2 linked regions of the Daphnia pulex genome follow. The protein of the gene in region 1 purifies or fractionates together with the protein of each later gene. This does not show direct contact. Links are inferred from orthologs where the notes say so. Each region holds a gene or a part of one and is shown on either strand. Other genes may lie near its edges.

Region 1 (3,057 bases):
CATCGCCTTCCATCACATCAAACAAACTTAAGGCATCAAAGAATGTTAACTGCAAAAACAAGAGGACTAGTAATCACTTTGGGCACTCTGGAAAAAATCCATCATCAAGGTTAAGCACAAAAAAAGAAACAAGAGCCAAAAAAGAGGACCCATTTTCTGTCAAGAGTCTGATGGCAAAGTTCATTGAAGCTGCAAAAAATAAAAAAATCTCCTAACTTTGATAACTATATATGATAAAACTTGGAGTTCCATGTTTATTTCAGATTATTTTAGTTTATTTTTATGTGTGCATGATTAGTTCGCCAATGTGGAATGTGATGACTACTGAAACCCCCTATCCCCATATTCCCCTTTGTCTTGCGTTTTTTGTTTGGATCCTCGTTCAAGTAGTCAGTTTCGCGTTGAGTTACAAACGAACCGGTATCGCATCAAAATGTTCGTCATAGCTTTATCTCCCAAGATTTTATACACTGTGATGAAACCTTCCGAAAATTATTTTGTAATAGTTCATTGATATTTTGTTTGTAAAACAAAACTCGCCATTATTTTTTGTAACCCAGAAATTCATCGTATCAATAAATACAGATGCTTGTATGAATGATCGCCTCCGTTGTTATTTTTCTTCGAACGGTTGATTTTATAACATACAATGAAATAATGACTAACAAAAAAAACAGCAATCATAACTTTGACAGAAATATTCATCATGCTGCTACCACGTCTTTTAATGTCCTATTAATTAATTTATATACAGTGATGCTTATAGGAATTTCTTTCTTCTTTTAAAAGGTAATTTCATTTGAATTAAGTGCTACTATCCTTTTTATTAACACATTTAGCATTTTAATCTCACACAAAATAAATATATTGTTGATTAAAAAATTAAAAAACATCATCCCGTTAATAGGCCTGAATGAAATTCAACATTAATAAATTACATTCAAAGCTTTAGACAGGCTTTAGAGAAATAGAGAGCTACAGCCCTGCTACAGCCTACTTTCCATTTTCAAATTCCAACCGTCTTTTTTTCAAAGAAAAGGAAAATATTCCCGCCGTTTCTCCTAGTGAAATTTGGCAACATCTCGCTAGGAATTTTTTAGAGCCACCCATTTTCAGCCAGCCTTTACGCTACCAGAATTTTTAGAGACCAGTTTGGTATTAGAACCGCGCGATTGTGAACCTAAAGCTTAAAACCGCCGGTGAGTTAGATTTATCTTCGAATATTGTCCACATCCTTCATCTTTTCGTTGTTTTAAGTAAGCAGTAATGTTTCTTTTGCCAATCTCTTTTTAATTCGGCATGGAAAGTATTTTAGTCATCATAGTTATTTTATTCTGCATTTTTCAAGTTGTAACCTCTAACAGTCATCTTCCTCCATCAAAGACAACGCACTAAGCTAGTCAGTGGCGGTAAAACTGTTCTGTGGTAGTTGTTTGAAATAGTCCCTTTTTTCTCTTGACATTAAACATTGACAGTTAACTTGTAAGTGTTCACGAGTGTGTAAATTTTTAGAAAAATATATTTTGTTGTCGTTAGATTAAGTTCCAGTAAATTCTTGTTGAATGACGCAATCAAGTCTGATCGATTCACTTATCTTTTCTCATTATTTGTAGGATTTACAACAGAATGGCTGCCGAACCTGACATGCCCACTTTCAAGCTGGTCTTGGTTGGCGATGGTGGTACCGGAAAAACCACTTTCGTTAAGCGTCACTTGACTGGTGAATTTGAAAAGAAGTATGTGGCCACACTTGGTGTGGAAGTTCACCCTTTGGTTTTCCATACAAACCGTGGAGCCATCAGATTCAACGTGTGGGACACTGCTGGTCAGGAGAAGTTTGGAGGTCTCAGAGATGGATATTACATTCAGGTAAATGTCAGCATACTTGTATTCACATGGTCTCGACTGACTTTCATTTATCTTGCAGGGCCAATGTGCTATCATCATGTTTGATGTAACCTCTCGTGTCACCTACAAAAATGTTCCAAATTGGCACAGAGATTTGGTCCGAGTTTGTGAAAACATCCCAATTGTTCTTTGTGGCAACAAAGTTGACATTAAAGATCGTAAAGTCAAGGCCAAATCCATTGTCTTTCACAGAAAGAAGAATCTCCAGGTATGTTAATTGTGCTACTAAATTGTAAATGCAATTTGCTAAATTTTGGTTTCATTTAGTACTATGACATTAGTGCCAAGTCAAACTACAACTTTGAAAAGCCTTTCCTCTGGCTAGCACGTAAGCTAATTGGAGACCCTAACCTAGAGTTTGTTGCTATGCCTGCTCTGCAGCCACCTGAGGTGCAGATGGATCCTAATTGGCAGAAGCAAATTGAAGGTGAATTGGAGGAAGCTCAACACATTGCACTACCAGAAGATGATGAAGACTTGTAACATCAACATATTAGGATTTAAGCCACTACACCCTCCCACAAATTTTTCCATCTGTGTTTTCTGCCTTCTATCTTAACCAATTTTTATTTGCGAGGTATGAAAATACATTGTGCGTCATAATACAAAAGTCTTTCGAATTTTTGTTTATTAGTGCATAATTTATTTGCGCAAGGGAAAATATACAAAGTAGTAAAGTTAAGAAAAATGTAGTGAACAAATAAACTACTCTCTAATGAAAACATCGATACACTCGCCACCTTCAAATTCCAGACTAGACGGTGTGTCATCTTCTTCCAACATTTCGCCGTCAAATTTAAACTTCAATTTGGACAAATCAATCCCGGTTGCTTCCGCATACTTCTGCATCAAAACTGCCATAGGGTCTTCGGGGCGCATTGATATAACCACTTGTGCATTCCGGTTCTGACTCTGAACCTTTAACTCCAACAATGTTTCGTTGGAGCTGACGACAACTCCTTCTTTGCAGACTGAAGCATCTGTTAAAAAAAAGCACTGTTACAACGTTCGCTAATACCAAACCCAATCGTCCAAAGTTTTTACATTGGAAAACCAATTGACTTCATGCCAGGGTTGCTAAAACCGATTTATGACGCTGAAATGGACTGTAATTTGAATGACAAGTAACATACCAATGATGTCTGATAT
Region 2 (3,686 bases), on another chromosome or scaffold:
ACGATTCGGCAAATTTGACGTTTGCCGAATTGGTTTTTGCCGAATTGGTTGACTTTGTTATTTTCCCGAATCGTACATACCAATTCGGTAAAAAGCCAATTCGGCAAAATTGTTTAAAATGCCGTTGTAAGGCCAGTGGCGCTAGCTGTGTGGGTTTCGGGTAATCAGCGCCACCACCAACACGCGAATTATACTGTCTTTCCCGAGAGATCTTTGAGCCCTTCCCGACATAAACACAAAACAAAGTGGAACCTGCTTTAACTGCCCATTCTTTTTTAGAAAACCATGGAGGGAAAATAGTTGAGTGAAAGGGAAGTTTATTATTTTAAAGGTTCCGTCGGCATACCATCGAACGGCAGTTTTCAAAAGCGCTAGTTGTTCGTCAGTCATGAAAATTAAATGACGTTTAGAACCAACTACAACTTCTCCTTTAAAAAACGAAGTGGGCATTAAGTCCATTTTGATTTGAAAAAAAAGATCAATTGGGTTTTTAGCAGTGCGCTTTGCTTTTACCCGATTTACAGCCCTAGCTAACGTTGTGGGGTTAATTGGGTTCCACAGTATTTGCCGCCAATTTACATTTGCACAGTTGCCGAATCGACTTTTGCCGAATCGGTAATTTCATAGGTGACAATTCGGCAACTTTGCCGAAACGGTTTTCGGCGATTTGCCGAAATGGTTTTTGCCGAATCGTCCGACATTCGTAGCCAATTTCACCTAAATTGAATTCAACAAATCCCATTTTTGCGTGAATTTAATTCAATTCAGCTGAATATAAACTGAATTGAATTTTTGCGCCAAATTGCGTTGCCTAAAATAAACAATTTTTACAGCTACGTTGTCAAGTTATGTAAACTATTTTCACGATCATCGAAGTTTATGATTTCATCAATAGATGGCGTCAAATTAACAGCTTCTTTAATAGCTCCATATGACAAACAGTCAAACAGGGTGGTAGTAGTTTGTCTGTCTTGTAAGCGTCGTAGACCAATTTAAAATAAAATCAAAGAATGAGTCGTAGGAAACGTGATGATGGATATGGTAAGGATTACAACTTATTGAAGAATTTGATGACATTATAAAAAGTTATTTGTTTAAAATTACAGAACATGGGTATCGTAAAAGGCGCAGAGTTGTCTCGGAGCAGGCAGAAATTGAAGACCGGTTAGAATCTCTTATTATCAGGGTTGGAGACAAAACGTCATCATCTTTAGAAAGCAATTTAGAAGGGCTTGCTTCAGTATTAGAAGCTGATTTGAACACGTACAAGAGTAAAATATTACGTATTTTGTCGGAATGCCCAATCCAAATGCCAGAGAAATGTACTATCTACAGCACATTAGTTGGTCTTCTGAATGCTAAAAACTATAATTTTGGAGGAGAGGTTTGTTTTAAAATTGTACTTTCAGTTTTTAAGATACAAGTATATCTTTTTTTAGTTTGTGGAACAAATAGTGAGAAACCTAAAAGAAGCTCTCCGTGAGGGGCAATGGGAATCTGCTCGTTTAATTGTACGTTTCATATCTGACATGGTCAACTGTCACATAGTCTCTGCCTCTTCCTTGCTACAGTTATATGACAGTTTTATTGACGCTGCCATGGAACAAGGAGTTCCTCAGGTTCGACGAGACTGGTAATTAAATTTTTGTTTTATTCTAAAGCAAGAGTAATGTAGATCACAACACTGTATCAATTTACAGGTACATGTATGCGTTGTTGACGGCGCTTCCTTGGGTTGGTCGAGAGCTTTTTGAAAAGAAAGAAAATGATCTTGAACGTATAATGGCAGCAATGGAAGGTTATCTTCGCAGAAGAAATACTGCTCATGTCGCTGCTCTTCGAGTTTGGAATTGTGAAACTCCGCACCCACAGGTCAGAAATGGCATGGCATTTTAATAATAATTGAAAAATTTCGAAAAACGTTCTTTCTAGGAAGAATACCTGGAATGTCTTTGGGCTCAAGTACGGAAATTGCGGACAGACGAGTGGCAGGAAAGACACATTTACCGTCCATATTTAGCTTTTGATTCTATCCTCTCTGAAGCTTTGCAACACAATCTCCCGGTCATTCTACCTCCGCCTCACACAGCTAGTACGCAATATCCGCTACCATGGGTTGTTTTCAGGATGTTTGATTACACTGACTGTCCAGAAGTAAGTTAAACGCTTTCAAAAGTGTGTATCGTGCGTATTTAACTCGGGACTCATTTTCAGGCTGGTCCACTTTTACCAGGAACTCATTCAGTAGAGCGTTACTTGATTGAGGAACATTTACACCAGATCATCACTCGTCATCATAACGAACGCAAGGAACTGTGAGTTTCAACTTGACAGAAACGTTTGTGCAGATAATAGTAAATTAATTTTGCTTTTCAGAGCCACCCAATTGTTGGCGTTCCCACAGAGAAATAAGATCCCTTTGGAATACATGATAGTTGAAGTTCTCTTCTCAGAACTTTTCCAAATGCCTTCCCCTCGTTACTTGGAGATTGCTTATGGTTGTACTTTGATAGAACTTTGCAAGCTTCAACCAAGTACAATGCCTCAGGTGAAAATATGATCTTACAGTAGAAACTTGAACATTTTCATTTGACTTTTTATTTCACAACCAGGTGTTAGCACAGGCTACGGAGTTGCTTTACGAAAGAATTGATACCATGAATGCCACCTGCTTTGATAGATTCGTTTCTTGGTTTTCTTACCATCTCAGTAACTTTCAATTCCGCTGGAGTTGGGATGACTGGCAGAATTGTCTTTCACTCGAAAAAGACCACCCCAAGGTAAATGTTTAAAAAAATGAAATTTTTCGAAATCTATCTAAAGGAACACTTAAATTTCAGGCAAAATTTGTTTCTGAAGTGTTCGGGAAATGTTTGAGACTCTCCTATCACAAGCGCGTGACTGAAATGGTGCCTGAATGTTACTCACCGCTGTTGCCCCCGAAACCAGAACCGTACTTTAAATACCAAATTGAAGGAGGAAATGGTTTTCCTGGGGCTGCTCAAGTCCAGACTTTGACTGAGCTCCTAAGAAAAAAGCCAACGCCTGAAGAAGTACTAGAGTTGGTCCAGCAACTACCGAATCCTCTCAAAGGTAAATATGGTGGATACAATATGTATAACTTCAAGCCATTTTGATGCAATTGTAATTAGATGACGACGGGGATATGGAGCCTTCACACAATCCTCTAGCAATTGAAGTATTTGTTCAGACTCTGCTACATTTGGGATCGAAGAGTTTTACGCATACTTTTGCAGGTCTCGCTAAATATCATTCAGTCTTCAAGGTATTTTCAACAGATTGAAATGTTATCGATAGTATAAAACGATTCAATTTTACGTTTCTGTCATAGAATATTTGTGAGAATGAAGAGGCACAGATCTGTATGCTTCGTCAAGTTTATGAGCTCTGGCAACACCACCCACAATTTTTAGGAGTGGTAGTTGATAAGATGTTAAAGACACAAATTGTTGAGTGTTGTGCCGTAGCAAATTGGATCTTTTCACGAGACATGGCACCCGAGTTCACTCGTTCGTACATTTGGGAGGTCTTGCACTTGACTATTCGCAAAATGAACAAACACGTCGTCCGTCTAGAGAAAGAGGTGGCGGATGCACGCGCTAAACTCAGAGCTGCACCATCTGATTCGGAATCATCTGATGAAGATCCATCTAGAGGTGCGAACA

The links.
Region 2: the proteins of GTP-binding nuclear protein Ran (region 1) and nuclear cap-binding protein subunit 1-like purify together in Homo sapiens (co-immunoprecipitation; 3 studies listed by BioGRID and IntAct, with this or other methods). This does not show direct contact. The link is inferred for Daphnia pulex from reciprocal best matches to the Homo sapiens genes RAN and NCBP1.

Annotation. Positions count from the first base shown.
Region 1 is NC_060020.1:1,359,030-1,362,086, forward strand, and holds GTP-binding nuclear protein Ran, read left to right. Parts: upstream 1-1,046; 5' UTR 1,047-1,199; exon of another isoform or gene 1,200-1,256; intron 1,257-1,384; exon of another isoform or gene 1,385-1,482; intron 1,483-1,613; 5' UTR 1,614-1,626; coding exon 1,627-1,869; intron 1,870-1,927; coding exon 1,928-2,116; intron 2,117-2,175; coding exon 2,176-2,391; 3' UTR 2,392-2,528; downstream 2,529-3,057. Other genes in the region: uncharacterized protein LOC124192239, read left to right, coding at 1-215; NFATC2-interacting protein-like, read right to left, coding at 2,614-2,888, 3,042-3,057. UniProt on the Homo sapiens protein: GTPase involved in nucleocytoplasmic transport, participating both to the import and the export from the nucleus of proteins and RNAs. Switches between a cytoplasmic GDP- and a nuclear GTP-bound state by nucleotide exchange and GTP hydrolysis.
Region 2 is NC_060022.1:6,378,315-6,382,000, reverse strand, and holds the start of nuclear cap-binding protein subunit 1-like, read left to right. Parts: upstream 1-886; 5' UTR 887-1,010; coding exon 1,011-1,041; intron 1,042-1,106; coding exon 1,107-1,384; intron 1,385-1,439; coding exon 1,440-1,633; intron 1,634-1,700; coding exon 1,701-1,872; intron 1,873-1,932; coding exon 1,933-2,154; intron 2,155-2,214; coding exon 2,215-2,315; intron 2,316-2,376; coding exon 2,377-2,548; intron 2,549-2,612; coding exon 2,613-2,780; intron 2,781-2,840; coding exon 2,841-3,093; intron 3,094-3,152; coding exon 3,153-3,286; intron 3,287-3,352; coding exon 3,353-3,677; intron 3,678-3,686. Other genes in the region: uncharacterized protein LOC124196162, read left to right, coding at 1-18. UniProt on the Homo sapiens protein: Component of the cap-binding complex (CBC), which binds cotranscriptionally to the 5'-cap of pre-mRNAs and is involved in various processes such as pre-mRNA splicing, translation regulation, nonsense-mediated mRNA decay, RNA-mediated gene silencing (RNAi) by microRNAs (miRNAs) and mRNA export.